2 linked regions of the Caenorhabditis elegans genome follow. The protein of the gene in region 2 interacts with the protein of the main gene of each other region in a pairwise test. Each region holds a gene or a part of one and is shown on either strand. Other genes may lie near its edges.

The links. Proteins that work in one complex are often made in the same cells at the same time.
Region 1: the proteins of klp-13 (region 2) and tars-1 interact in a two-hybrid assay, tested with the Caenorhabditis elegans proteins (one large-scale study listed by BioGRID).

The regions. Positions count from the first base shown.
Region 1 is NC_003280.10:11,690,175-11,696,089, forward strand, and holds tars-1 (Threonine--tRNA ligase, cytoplasmic), read right to left. Parts: upstream 4,120-5,915; 5' UTR 4,090-4,119; coding exon 3,970-4,089; intron 3,904-3,969; coding exon 3,574-3,903; intron 3,523-3,573; coding exon 2,545-3,522; intron 2,218-2,544; coding exon 1,916-2,217; intron 1,866-1,915; coding exon 1,616-1,865; intron 1,570-1,615; coding exon 1,372-1,569; 3' UTR 1,155-1,371; downstream 1-1,154. Other genes in the region: kel-1 (BTB domain-containing protein), read left to right, coding at 69-230, 452-1,154, 4,606-4,752, 4,802-4,880, 4,934-5,037, 5,770-5,829.
Region 2 is NC_003284.9:5,982,521-5,991,641, reverse strand, and holds the start of klp-13 (Kinesin-like protein), read right to left. Parts: upstream 6,654-9,121; 5' UTR 6,451-6,653; coding exon 6,424-6,450; intron 4,711-6,423; coding exon 4,630-4,710; intron 4,582-4,629; coding exon 4,471-4,581; intron 4,427-4,470; coding exon 4,220-4,426; intron 3,801-4,219; coding exon 3,672-3,800; intron 3,560-3,671; coding exon 3,467-3,559; intron 3,296-3,466; coding exon 3,212-3,295; intron 3,167-3,211; coding exon 3,082-3,166; intron 2,984-3,081; coding exon 2,921-2,983; intron 2,865-2,920; coding exon 2,752-2,864; intron 2,709-2,751; coding exon 2,600-2,708; intron 1,734-2,599; coding exon 1,633-1,733; intron 1,577-1,632; coding exon 1,494-1,576; intron 1,448-1,493; coding exon 1,300-1,447; intron 1,037-1,299; coding exon 865-1,036; intron 815-864; coding exon 692-814; intron 624-691; coding exon 464-623; intron 1-463.

The DNA of each region.
Region 1 (5,915 bases), on a different chromosome or scaffold from region 2:
AAAACTTAAAGGCGCGTGCGTAAATAAGCCTGCAAAATAAAATTAAAAATTTCTTTTTTTTTTTCCAGAGAAATAATCGACAACGAGGAGCTCCTGAGCCTTGACAAAGACGCGTTTTGTGAGTTGATACAGGATGACAGAATTACAGTACCCAGTGAGAAGCCTGTAATGCAAGCAGTCTTGAATTGGGTGGCTCATGAAGAGCCCAGTCGACGGCCTTTTTTGGCAGAGTGCGTAGATTTTACTACAAAAATATGGTCTCGACACGACAGTTTTTGTTGAAAAGAAATCGGTGTGCGCTTTTGGAGAGTACTGTAGTTTTAAACTTTGACGAAAAACTATGAAAGTTCGAAACTACAGTACCCCTTAAAAGCGCAGACTTTTTCGCATTTGACAAAAATTTGTCGTGGCGAGACCTTGAAACAAAAATCAAATGAATAAAAACTTTCAGACTAATGTCAAATGTTCGCCTGCCATTGCTGGGTGATGATTATCTTTTCGAAAAATGGAGAAATGACGAGATGATCAAAAGTGATGCGGCTTGTCTAAACGTGATCATCGAAGGAATGCATCAGCTGAAAATCACGAAGCAAGACATTTCCAGCACGGAGCCCCACTATCCGATTCAGGAGCTCAACCGAAAATGGTTCGTCGCCCGTGAACCCATGCCAGAATCCCAGCACATAATGATCGTCGGTGGGCAGGCTCCAAAAGCGATCACCAACGTCGATTTGTTCGATCCTGATAGCCAACTCTGGAGCTCGTGTGCATCCCTTCCACAGAGAAGGTGCCGAAGTGGAGTGAGCATGTGCAATGGTTACGTGTACACCACTGGCGGGTTCAATGGAGCACAGCGGGTGAGATCCGTGGATTTCTATGATCCACGAACCGATACATGGCGTTCCGCGAATCAGATGAGTGCTCGCCGATCCACTCACGGGATAACCACGTGTCAACAGGTGTTGTATGCAGTTGGGGGATTCGATGGAACTACCGGGCTTGCGAGTGCAGAATATTTCGATCCACACACAGGAAATTGGTTTCCACTTCCATCAATGAGCACGAGAAGATCAAGTGTTGGAGTGGCAGCGTTCGAAGAGGATATCTATGCGATTGGGGGATTCGATGGTGTCTCAAAGCAATGCCTGAATACGGTTTGTTTTACTTCATGAGAAACACTGGTGGGAAATGGGGAGTAAAAGAAAAACCGAAGAAATAAAATAAAAAACAAACAAATATATAAAGCAATACCGAAGAGGATAACAATCAGGGAACACAAAAATTAACTGGAATTCAATGCATTAGAAGACGTGGGCGCGTGGGGGGAACCAATAAATACTATAATTATAAAATTATCAACGAACAAGAAGTTTATGCCCATTCCTCAGACTTTTCCGTGTCGGCGACATACTCGTCAGCAAATCTTCTGAACTTTGAGATAAGCTTGTCGAGTGCGACCTCTCCTCGAACTGCGTTGTCCCTGGTGCGCACATTTACTGTTCCGTTCTCTTTTTCTTTGGCTCCAATGACGAGAATGAAGTTGAACTGGGCAAGCTGGGCCTTTCGGACCTAAAATTTTAATATTGAAATATCTTAAGAATGGAGTTAAATGTACCTGCTTATTCATCGTGTCACCACAATTCTCCTCATACTCAATCTCAAATCCGGCCTCGAAGATCTGCTTTTTGACGTCATTTGCATAGTCTCTGACTGACTCGTGAACAGTGATGATTTTACATTGCCTTGGTGAGAGCCAGAATGGCCATTTTCCTCCATAACTTTCAGTGAGAATAGCTGTCATCCGCTCAACTGATCCAAGAACAGCACGATGAATCATGACTGGTCTCTGCTTTTCTCCCTTCTCGCTGAAAAATTGAAAATTAAATTTTTTTAGATTTTAGAGTTTTTTTCTCACTCGAAATAGGAAAGATCAAATTGATTCGGAAGTTGGAAGTCAAGCTGAATTGTGGCGCACTGGAAGTTTCTCTTGAGAGCATCTTGAATGGTGATATCGATTTTCGGTCCGTAGAATGCTCCATCTCCCGGGTTCAACACCCATTTTCTGCCTGAAGCGTTGAGCGCATTGGTGAGATCTGCTTCGGCCTTGTCCCATGTTTCGATGTTTCCAAGGAATCCTTCTGGTCGTGTCGAGAGGTTAAGCTTGAAGGTGAAGCCGAACACTTTCTCGTAGGCGTACTCGAGGAAGTCGAGGCATTGCTGAAATTTTGTTGGTTTTTTTTTCATTAAAAAGGCAATTTTTCCCTGATTCCGAACATCTAGGTTTGTGAAAATTTTTAAATATGCCTTTCATTTGACGCCATTTGTCGATTTACGTGATTTTTTTTTTCGTGACAATTTATTATATTTAACTAACTGAAAACCGGAAAATTTTGCTGGATTTTTATGTTAATTTAAAAGAAAAAAACCGACGAAAATGAAGAAACATTGAACAACTGATATCGGAATTTTAAAAAATTCTCGTAAATCGACTTTGGGACATTTTTAAAACAATAATTTTTCACTCGGAATCAGAAGCAGAAATACCTTGATCTCCTCGGAAATTTGATCTTGACGACAGAAAATGTGAGCATCATCTTGTTGGAAGCGACGAACACGTGTAAGTCCAGTCAAAGCACCAGACATTTCATTTCTGTGCAAAACTCCAAAATCAGCGAATCGGAATGGAAGCTCATTGTAGGTGTGTGGCATGTGTCCGAACATGAGACAATGCCCCGGGCAGTTCATCGGCTTCAAACCGAACTCTTCCTTCTCCACCTCGATCTTGAACATATCCTCCGAATAATGCTGCCAATGACCGGAAGTCTCCCAGAGCTTTTTGTTGTACATATTTGGAGTGATAACCTCGGTGAAACCGCGTCGTCTGTACTGCTTTCGGATGAAATCGACGAGCTTATTGTAGATATGTGCTCCTTTCGGATACCAGAACGCCGATCCCGGAGAAAGTTGATGAAAGAAGAAGAGATCATGTTCTTTTCCGAGTTTACGATGATCTCGCTTCGCGGCTTCTTCTTGAAGTTTCTGCCACTCTTTAAGTTGCTTTGAATCGGGGAACGAGATTCCATAAAGTCTCTGCAAGGACTCAGCGTCGGCTTTTCCCTCCCAGTAAGACGATGAATTCTTGGTGATTGCCATGGCCTTGACTTTTCCGGTGTGACGGACGTGGGGGCCACGGCACAAGTCAATGAGGGGTCCACATCGATAGACGGTGGTTTTTGGAGTGTGAATCTTTTCCGTGATAATTCTGACTTTGAACTCATTGTACTTGAACATTTCCAGCAGATCCTCTTTTGTCATTTCAAGACGCTCGAACTTTTGCTTATCTTTTACTGCGGCCTTTACGATTTGATCGATCTTCGGGAAATCATCAGGGCAGATTGTGCGGTTCTCATGCCACATATCATAGTAGAAACCTTCTTGGATTGGTGGTCCGTAGCAAAGATGACCTCCACAATAACGCTCCATAGCCTCTCCGAGAACGTGAGCAGAAGAGTGCCAGAAAACCTGAAATTAAATTGATAATTATTTCCATAAAAAACTAAACAAAAAACTCACTTGCTTAGCCTCATCATCATCAAACTTCAAGAGCTCCAACTTTGCATTTCCTTCAAATGGACGATCCAAATCCCACACAGCTCCGTTGACTTTTGCGATGACGGCGGCCTCGGCGAGTCCCTTGGAGATTCTCTCGGCGATTTCGAATGGAGTAGTACGCCATGTCTTTCCCTCGTGGATCTTTCCGTCGGGAAGAGTGATCTGAATTGGCTCAGACTCTTTGGCAGCAATTTCAGCGTCGTATTCCGCCTTCAACTTGTCCCAAAGTTTGATTCTCTCCTCAATGAACGCCGGCCATGGCGCCATATCGGTTGGGGCCTTCGACATTTTCTGAAATTAAAAAAATTAAATTAGTGAATAACTCAATTCTTAAAGTTTATACGGAAAAGTACGTACGTGGCCGTTCACAAAATGATATTTATCAGAAGCCTCGGAAGAAAGCGAGCGATAAAACGGTTTGAAGATTTGTGTCGGTTTTTGAATGTGAACAAATATCCGGAAACAGTTCAATCGCATCTAACGATTCCCATAAGAAGCTGCGCGTACCTTAAATACAATAAGTAAATTTTTATTTCGAAATACTATTAAAGCATGACGGAAAGTGATGCAATGCTTCGACGTGGCGTTCAATACTACTGAGCAAAATAGCGAAATTTACGGGAGAGGCAGAGTGCACAGAGGAGAGGAAAAAGTAAAAAAGAGGAAAAATTCGATTTTACTGGATTAACATTGACTTTAAAGGTAGTAATACCGACATTTTAAAAAGAAAACTCGAATTATAGCCTAAAAAAATTAAAATTTTCATCGAAAAAACTAGAAATTCCCTGCAAAATACTTATGAAAAGCATGGAAATAGGGAAAAGTCTGCAGAAATTGAGATTTAGCGGCGCACGAGAAACGCGTCAGCCCCTTGGTGCGTTTTGTGGTGAGCTGACGCACTTGCTGAATTATAGTGGTAAATAAATTCCAAACTATATTCTTCGGTTTAATAGTAGAAAAATACGTCGATAAATGAAACACCGCACTTTTTAGGTAGAAATTTTCGATCGAAGAGCTCACAAATGGCGTCCAGGGCCTGCAATGCTGAATGTCAGATCAGGAGCTGGCGTCACTGTGTACGATAAGAAAATTATAGCAGTAGGAGGACATAAAGGGGCAGAAATTCACCGATCAGCAGAGGTAGGAATGGGAAAAATTATATTTTACTCCAAAAAAGTCGATAATTTAGATATTAATCGGAGAGGAATGGATTGAGCTCGCCAATATGGCAATTCCGAGAAGAAATACCGCAGCTACAGCTTTGAACGGTAGAATTAATAATTTTAAATCATATTTTTAAATAGTAATAGCATTTTTGCAGGTCTTCTCTATGCTGTGGGTGGCGACGACGGCTCGAGCAATCTGTCAACAATAGAATGTATTCAGCTGAGTGACAGGTCAGACGCGCAGTGGAAAATCGTCGATGTAAGCATAATATTACAAAGAAAAAGTAGTAAAATTTGACGGGAAAAGTGATTTTTGACCAAAGAAAATAGATTTTCTTTCAAAAATCCCGCATTGAAAACTGGTCTCCGCGAGACCCAGCTAGAAAGTAATATGCGCCTTTAAATAGGTACTGTAGTTAATTTTCAATTTTTAAAAATTGGGTTTTCACAATTTTAATTTTCTTTGACAATTTTTGTTTTGATAAAACATAATATTACAAGAAAATACATTAAATACTGACCGAAAAATACTACTTACTGAGTGAGAAAAATTCAATTCTATTTAAAAATTTCCACTATGAAAGCTGGTCGCTGTGAGACCCACCTGAAACAGTGTTAGGCGCCTTTAAATAAAATACTGTAGTTAAAATCTCATTTTGAGACCCGAAGAACTCGGGGGATGTCCAACTGGGGGGATTACCAACTCGGGGGATTGGCCCCGCCCACAGAACCGTGGCTTGCAATACGCCCATTTCTGCAACTGCCGCACGGTTTTAAAACTGTATTTTTCTCAATAGAGCGAGAATTAACAAGAAAAAATGATTTTAAAACCGTGCGGCAGTTGCAGAAATGGGCGTATTGCAAGCCACGGTTCTGTGGGCGGGGCCAATCCCCCGAGTTGGTAATCCCCCCAGTTGGACATCCCCCGAGTTCTTCGGGTCTCCTCATTTTAAAACATGTTTTGTTATTTAATTTCCGTTTTTTTTTTCAGGCTCCAATGTCGCAGGGACGCTCCTACGCCGGAATCGCATTGATTCCAAAAGAATTTTAGTAATTTTCAGTTTACATGTATTTTCTTGCCATTCAAAAATAAAATAAAATTAATTTCTTTATCCTTTGTTTGTTTTTTTTTCTTTG
Region 2 (9,121 bases):
AAAATATCATTTGCTTCCATTTGAAAATGTGAAACATAATAATATTGTATTAAAATTGTCACTTGCTGACAAAAGTCCGACAAATTTTCGAACATGTTTTTTGGTCGTTGACAACTAGAATAACATTAAAGATAATTAAATATTTCTTTATACTTTGACAAAAAGTTTATAAAAATTCCGCAACAAGCTATTTTTAGAAGTGCGGAGCCAGACAAAATTGTAGCACAACCAACATTAAGATGGCCTTTAGGACCCCCAGCCTTTTTGGATAGTTTTAATAAAACACTTCTAAAACAAATTTTGATTTATTTTTCGACTTTCAATTTAACAATACGGGAAAACTTATAGTTACACACAATTTAAGATCAAAACAAAATTTTGCACGCGTGATTTTTACAGTGCTGATCAGGTCTGATCATAAGAAAATTTGATGTACACCTAAACCGGAAACACTCATACGCACCGATCCTCTATTATGATTGTGTTGTTGTTGTTAATAATTTTCGGAAGCAGCATTGAATTCCACGAGACCGTCGTTTGAATGTTTTTCAGTGGGAGCAGATGATAATGGAACTGATTTTTGATCACTCGGTATTCTTCTTCAAGTTTCTTACGATCATTGTCTTAAACATTATTCGATTTGTGAAAAAAAAATTCTCAAAAATTTTAAATTGCATTATCGCAATCTTACCGTCTAGCTTTCCATCGATCAGCTTATCAGCCACCATTTCATATTTTTGAAGCTTTGCAATAGATGTATCAGTTCTATCCATGATCAATCCCCGGATGGCAAGATCCGACAATGCGGAAATTTCTGAAACGGAAAACCTTAATAAGTTTCTAAAAATAACTCTAAACGCCCACTTTGTGCTTCTATCTCAGCCATCTTCACCATCAATTTAACAACTTCTCGCTGCTCATTAGTGGATGCCAGGCTTCTCATTCGAGATTCCAGCCCACTCGCATTCTCCTCCCCTTTCCGGAGTGCCTTCTCCACTTTAGTTCGTTGATCAGATAGTTCCACAAGGCGCACTCGCTGAAAAAACAAGATATACACCGACCGGTTTTCTCTTGAAACATTATTTCAGATCATGACAAGGTGTCAATGAAAGGTATGCAAGGTGTCAATGAAAGGTATGCATTGTTGACTACCTGTCTTCTATGTTTCTCGTTTTGATTTTGCATTAAAAACATCAAAAACTGAAAGTCAGTCAAAAAGAATTCCCATCAAATTTTCCAAAGTGATAAGTTCTTGTTGCACCCATTGTGTCCCAAGATACAACTGATAAACACACTTACTTGAAGTTCTCCATCCTTTTTCAACCTTTCAATACTTTCAGCTGTCTTGTCGTGATGATGCTTCTCCCAAGCATTAATTATTGCATTTTTAGAAATTAAAGACATTTCTAATGAGTAGGCTTCTTGATTTGTAGCCATCAATTTCTCCCTGTAACTTTTCAATTATTCCATTATTAATTTTTACCTCAAATTACCTCAATCGCTTTTGTTTATCCGACAATGTCATGTATTGCTCCTTGAGCTGTGTGAAAAGTGATCCTCCACGCCCACGGTCTATCTGAAAAATGAAACTAATTTATGATGTATGTCTCTGTGTTTTTTTTTTCAACTGACCGGCATCGGTTGAGCCGCTCTCGTTAGGCTGCTATTCCGTGAGATAGATTTTGGACGGTTACGGCTGCTGCTCCTTTCTTGCACACTGCTTCTTGCTGCCACTGAAATTCAATTGTATAAAAGTGTTAGAAAGTTTTAGAAGTACTTCTACGCATTCCTACTAAATTTACTTATTTTTTTTGTCTTTGAGGCTTGAGTCTCTACGGCCAGACCGATTTTGTCTCGCGGTTTCTTAGTTCAGTTTTTTTTTGTTTTTTATTTACTGAAAAAGCAGCAGCAATGATTCAAACCGTTTACACATTTCAAACAAATTGTCTATTTTATAATTTTCTTTAAAATGTAGTTTTAACTTTGAAAAGCAACAAAAAATGTAATCGCGTTCTATTCAAATTCAAAAGAACACTTTCAACTTGAATTGGAAATTTAAAAATGGAGTAGACCCCGTGAGACAAGTGCTTAAAGTACTTCAATGGTTCCAAAGTGACCAGATATCATAGTAAAACTTTTCTAAAAAAAATTCGAAAATTGTTATTTACGCTCAAAAAGTGGCAATTACTCAGTTTTTCCACTCCAAATTTTGAAAGTCGACCAGAAAGAATGTTTTTTTCACGGTTTTTTACTATAATTTTGTTTCAATATTTTTTTTTAACATTATGTGTAAGGTTCAGACCATGCAAAATTTCTCTGGATTTCCTTAAAATCTCTTCTTTTTTTAAATGTTGGCTATTCACCAAAACGTTGACTGAAAATTTTGAAAAATCTAAAAATTTTTTTGAGTGTTTCAATATGGTATTCCGTCGTTTTGGATTATGATAAGTGTAGTGGACAAAATATTTTGCCAACTTTTAAAACCGCTTGGAATCTATGTTTGTAGCCTGAGGTTTAGTAGTGTTTTGTGTTTGAAGCAAATAAAGTATTTGTTTTTTTCATTATGGATCACTATTTGGATTCAAAAAAATTTTCTCACATCCGGTAATTGATGACGAATTCTTAATCTGCGATCCAACTTCCTTCCTGATCGCATTCATCGCCTCTGCATAAACTTGATCGGCGGAAGCTGGCCGATTCCGCATTGGCTAAAAATAAAAACTGTGTTCCTATTTAACACGTTAACGTTACTTTATTGGTAATGTTCATTGCTCTTGATGCATACATCAGTGTGTTATATGTCTCTTCAAAATTAGAACTTGATGGGGTGACGTGAGCTATCATGCATGTTTTCGCCGTCCCTCCTAAAATATAAATTATTTGCTCGTTTCGTTATGTGTTCATGTAGTCAAAAACCAACCAAGCGAATCCTTCAAAAGTCTTGTCAATTTGCTATCCCGATAGTTCACAAATTTGGTAGTCTCTGAAAAGCAAGTCACATCAAACAGCTTTATTTTTTCCAAGAATTAATTGATGACTACACTTCTTGAAATCACTTTTCCAGAAAGCCTCTTAACTCACTCGAAGCCAACGAGTTAATGACATTCCCAAGTGCCAACAGTGAGCGATTTATTGCAGCTCCCTCTTTCAACCGGATTCCACGATTCTAAGTGATTTTTATGAAAATGGAGAAAATGGAATTGGGACCTACTTGGGTGTTGGAAGCTCGCTCGGAGCCTGCTAGATCTATCATGAAAAGTTTACTGTGAAGAGATTGATTTTTGACGATCATCACCTAAAAATTATTTATTTTCTTTTATTGTCAAAAAAATCAGGCATACGTTCAATCTCTTCTACTGAAAATGTTTTTAAAGCTATCTTATGTCTCAAAATGTCTCGAAAAAACACAAAGATCAACTACGTGTACTCAAAGAGCAGGGAGTGTATCCCCAAGATTGAATCTTGCCTGAAGCAACGCGTGACTCCTTGAGCTTGTTTTATTCGCCATCGTCGCTTCCTGAGTGCGTCGTAGATTGCCTTCTTGCAATATTTGCATGATCTACAAAATGCGGGAAATTTGTAAGAGAATTAATGTGAAGCTGTGAAACGCAAGATTGCCACTTGAAAGCGGCTCTCTGCGTTTTTCAATCACGGAAAAATTGACCACGTACTCGGGTTAGATTTGGTGCTTTTACTGAGGACAAACCGGGTACTCGGATGTTTCCACGCTCATCTTCTAATAGTTCCAAGTCGCCTCCACTAGGATTTAGAAGATCTCTGATTATTTCGTTGTAGATTTCCTGAATAATAAGTGTACAACGGTAGAGTATTGTTAAGGGACGTGTATGCGAAATGGTCCCGTCACGAGTATCACTCATTTTTATGATTTTTTGTGAACATTTAAATTACTGTAGTTTTTCTTCTTTTTCTTATTTCTCTTTGTTTTTTCACAGATGAGCAATCAAAGTTGCGATCTAATAGTTCTTCACAAACAATTTTAAATAAGAATGACCAAAAGGGCCTAACGGTTTTAACTAAGTTTAAGTTGAATTGTGTGAAGATGGAGTTGAGTTTTGAAATTCTTTTTTCGTAACCTAATGGAAACATATGTTTTCAAATGTGGCATGTCTAGAAATTTAAAAATGGTTTGTTTGAATATATAGAATTTATAAATAAAAGCCAATGCTTATGACTTTTTTTGAATATTCCCTATCCTCACCATATAGGATAACAACACTTGATATTGATTATCCAATTTCTCATACAAGGTTTTTGTCATCAACGTCATCAATCCTGGCCTGTCTTTTGTTCCAATCATAGTAAACGTCTTGCCGGACCCAGTAGCACCATATGCAAAAACAGTGGCATTGAACCCTTCAACAACTGAGTCGATAATAGGACCAGTTGTTGTTTCGTGCACGTCCTCCTAGAAAACAAAGTACACAATTTCAAGAATTCTTATCCCAAAACCTGATTAGATGTTGCTCCAAATGATGCATCAAACTCGAACTTTCGTTCATGTTGTCGGTTTTGTCGGAGAATGTTGTTTTCAAACTTTTCGGGATCCACAAGTAGTACTCGCTTGAAAGAAAATAAATTCAATTTTTTTGAAAGTGATGTTCGAGGTACCTTTTTATCCAATGGAAACACACATTGAAAAGCTTTACGAGACTTTTCTCCAGAGTTCAGTGGCCGTACTCGTACCACAACCTGTAATTTGCTAAACTATAAATTTATACGGTGTATAATTTTTTTAAACCTTTGCCTCAAACAGTAATTAGTTGAATCATTTCCTGTTTCGAATCTGTCTAGATTTTTCTTTCTAAAATTGCACCGTACATTCCTCTTTAACAATGCATAGTACTTCTGTTCAATAAATAATTTCACTCATTTTCTTTTTGACAACGTTATGTCCTCTACTAGTACAACTCCGACCTTTAAGTATATATGCTTTTGCCTACGAACATGAAAAAAATTTGGCTGAAGCAAGAAAAAAACGTTTTCTTTTTCAATAGATGACCACAAATTGCTCTGGTTTTTCGTAGCTTTACATAATGTGTACACATAGTTATAAAAAAAAAAGTTGATTGGAAAATAGGAAAAGAAAATAGTGGCGCAGTAAAAAAAAGGCTTGTAATCTCGAAAACAAAAATAGTGGTTAACGTGATTAGATGTCTAAGGCATTTCCTGGTGATTGCGGGAAGAAATTTTAGGTTCTCTGAAATGAAGTCAAAAAGAAAAAAAATACAATGACTCGTCAAAAACAGATTCCAATTTCCAAATTTCTGTGTTGGAGAGTAAACAAAAACTAGATAGTTTCGAATTACATCAGTCTCATTGAAATCGAATTCCTGATTTTCAATTTCTCTGGGCTTTTTACAAAAAAAAACATTTACGGTTTATAATCTCAAAGCGTCAACTTTTGGAATCCTTGACATCTAAAGATCTCTGGCTTTGTTTTCAATGACGTTGTTGTTTTCTTTTTCAACAAAAACATCTCTTTGTCTGACTTTTAAGAATTGCGAAACAAATCACGGCTCTAGTCACAATGTTCGTATTTTCGTCGTTTGATATTGTTGCGTTCAGATATTCTAGACACATGTTACATTGCTAATGACAACCCGACTAGCACACATTCCCCAGGAAAAAAAAATTATGCTAGGAATCAAAGTGGGTAAAGTTTGTTGCAAATTTGAGCCGGATACGACACACGAATTGATAAAGTTTGATAGTGATAAGATAAGAAGATAAGAATTGCTGAAATTTTTTACCGCTTTTGATTTTTGCCAACTTTGCAAACAAAGTGACTTTGAAGGACAAAGTAGAAAAACTCTACAAAGTTTGGTTATTTTATGGCGCGGTCAAATAGTAAATTATTTTAAAAAGTTACTAGCGTGCTTATATGAACAACATCATAATAATATTTATCCAAAAAGTTATTGAAAATGTTAAATTGTTTTATTTGTTTTCATCACTTTTCATCTCGAAATAAAACATATGCGGTTTTTTTTGGAGCGTTTTATTATGCTATTTTGTGATTTCAGTAGGAACGATTTTTTATAAAATTTTTCAATGGTCGCACTCCACCATTTAAAGTTTTTATATGAAAGCTTAAAAACCAAACGTGATTTTCCAAATTTTTGTAAATTTTTTAGAAGAATTTATAATTAAATTTTATTTGTTTCATTATATGAGAATTCTAAGTCTAGAGGTTTTGAATTTATTTTTAAAAAATTTTCGTCATTAAATATGCATTATTGCAAAAACAAACTAACATTAAAAATACTTCTCTATGGAATGAACTTTCCAAATTTTCATATATTCACGGTCTCACAAAACTGCTTCAGTTTTCAAATTTTTTGTATTTATTTCTGACCAGCATTACAAATTGCCTTTCTACTTTTCAAAATCAAAACCACGTACCGTGAGCTGCTGTTTTTGCATTGCCATAATATATATTAACAAGAGTACAATAATAGTGAGCAGTTGTACATGTCTCGGACAGAGCCCCGATGGCTTCTACCTTGACTGCAATTTGAGGTGAAGGCGGGCGACACTCAGAAGGCGAAACCTTCAATCGCACTTTCTTTTTGGTAAAACCACAAAATGCATTCGACGGCTCGTCTCCAAAATCGCTACACTCTTAGTTTTTCATTCTTTTTCTATATCTGCTCTCCATATAAATTCGGCGCAGTCTCGCGCTCGCCCTTAATAACTCGGCCGGTCACCTGGCAACGCGCCGCCGACGGCTTCTCTTCCACTCAAATTCGCCTTCCTATAGTTTGTCCCGAATTTTTCGGCCGCATTTGAATTGCCGCGGTTTATCGTTTGATTCGCAGGCAAGCAGGCACTGCGAAGCCGCGCCGCGTGTTCCGCCGCCGGCGGGAGTATAAGGGTGGTGAAGAGAAGAGAAAAAGAGACAAACAAGAGAGATTGCGAGGGGAAAGATGAAGTAGACACACGGGTTGGGAGTGTCTCTAACTCTCTTCATTTTGTGTGATATCTCGTTTTGCAATATTAGAATACTCAATGAAGGTTCGGCTCTCTTGCCTTTCACCATCAATGGTCATGTTTTGAGAAATAAAAGTACAGTAGTATCATTCTCTTGCCTCCCATATTTTATTTTTTCTGAAAATAACGGTATGTCGTTTGCTTTATTAATTGAAAATTGAAATTTACTTTTTTAAAAAATTGCGGAATGCAAAATAAAAATCAGTATATCTGTTGCAATTATCACGTGCATTGACAATTCGGAAATTGAAAAAAAGTAATGCAAAACCATGTTTTGTTATTTATCTCATTTTCGCTACTCATCCGGTTTTGAGTATAAAGGATTAGAGTTTTTATGCCTAAAAGGGGTCATAACAACTGGTTGGACAAAAAAAGTGAGGAATAACTCAGAAAAAAATTATTTAAATTATTGAAAGATACTAATACATTTTCATAGTTACCAGGTTTTTTTACCAGAAATATTTTAAGTGTTCAAATAAATTGTTGTTCTTATACAAAAAATGTTCCAGCTTCAGATTCTTGTGTCGGAAGTTAGGTAGATCGACAGCGACTTTTTGAAGACTGGAAAATTTGTTTTTGTTTTCTTTTGGATATTTGAAGAAAAATACAAATTATTGTCGTTTTATAACAAAAAGTTTTAAATTCTAAAGATAGCAAATGAGTAGCCACATAGTTTATGAAAGTTTTCATTTAAAGCTAGGTGGGAAAATGCTAAAAAATATTTTTTAACTTTTCAAGAAATCTGAAACAATGTCGCATGTATTAACTGCTGCGAAGTTGATGTATGAATATATTAAACGTGATTAAACATGAAAACAAATATTTCCGATCGACGACTTCCAAAAAAATTTGTGAAAACTGAATATTCAAAAATTTTTGAATCGAAATAAAAAAGTTCCAAAACTTTTTGAAAAGGTCTATTTTGACATTTGCTCATTTTACCACTATAGAAATGATTTTTAAGAATATCCCCACTGACCTTACTTCACCTTAAACTTTTTTTACTTTATACTATTCCCCAATCCCTTTCCCCAATTCCGAGGTAGCTCGAAGATTTTTTTCCAAGATTTACTATCTAACCGAAGGTTGAATCCAATTTATAGAAAATGCGCGCATGTCGCCTTCTGCGGCTCCTTGAGCTGTGTTTCTTTTTTTATAGAATGTATAATTGAATTTGACGTTCGGTGTCCCAAATGGCTGTTCGGTAATCGAGTTTAGTAGTGTAAGAGAATTTTCTTTTGAGACGAACATCATCTTTTTCTGCCTTCTGCTCCATTTTCTGCCCTTTTCAGTACGCAGATATATAGTTATCAAACACCGAACAACAAAAATTGAAACAATATGCAAAATGATTAGTTGAAAAAAATGTTCACCAAAAAAGTCATTAGTAATTCAAAATTCATAAGTACAGTAATATTATGAATTTCTCTCTTCCAGAAATTTTCATTAGACCAAAAAAATCCTTAGCATTCACATAATTTTTGCAAACGGTCACATAATCAAATTTGTCTTGAGAGCTCTCAGAGCTATGACGCAGAACATCCGTAACTCAATAGAATACCCGCTTCTTATGAACGACAAACAGTGTCACATGAGTCCGACCAGCTGGGTCCTCAGCTTCTTCTTTTTCTTTTTTCTTTTCTTTTGCTTTTTGGTTACTTCCGTCAGTTTTTCGGTTCTTCGGTTTGCTCGTCCCTTTCTCAAAATCCCCGTAGACACGCAAATCTATGGTTGTGGAACCCGGCGTTACGTCATTTCTCTTCCATCTTAACAAAACCTTTTTTCTTCACTGCTTTTTTTCGAAAAAAAAAAAATATTTCTTTCTTTTTTTATGGGCTGCAGATGGAGACACAGAGTGGGAAACGTCACTTGTTGTATATATATATTTTTTTCTTGAGTTTTCAACTCTCCAATTCTCAAGTTGAACAAATGGCCCATAAAAAAACATCTGAAGAGAAATCTGAAGAGAGAGAAATACGACTTTTTAGTCTTTTTTCTCGGTGAAGTTTTTTTGAACACGTTTTTTTTCAATCAAATTTTTTAGTTTTACTATAGTTTCAAAATCTATAAAATTCCAGAAGTGTTAATAGACAGTGCCAAATTGCCAAAA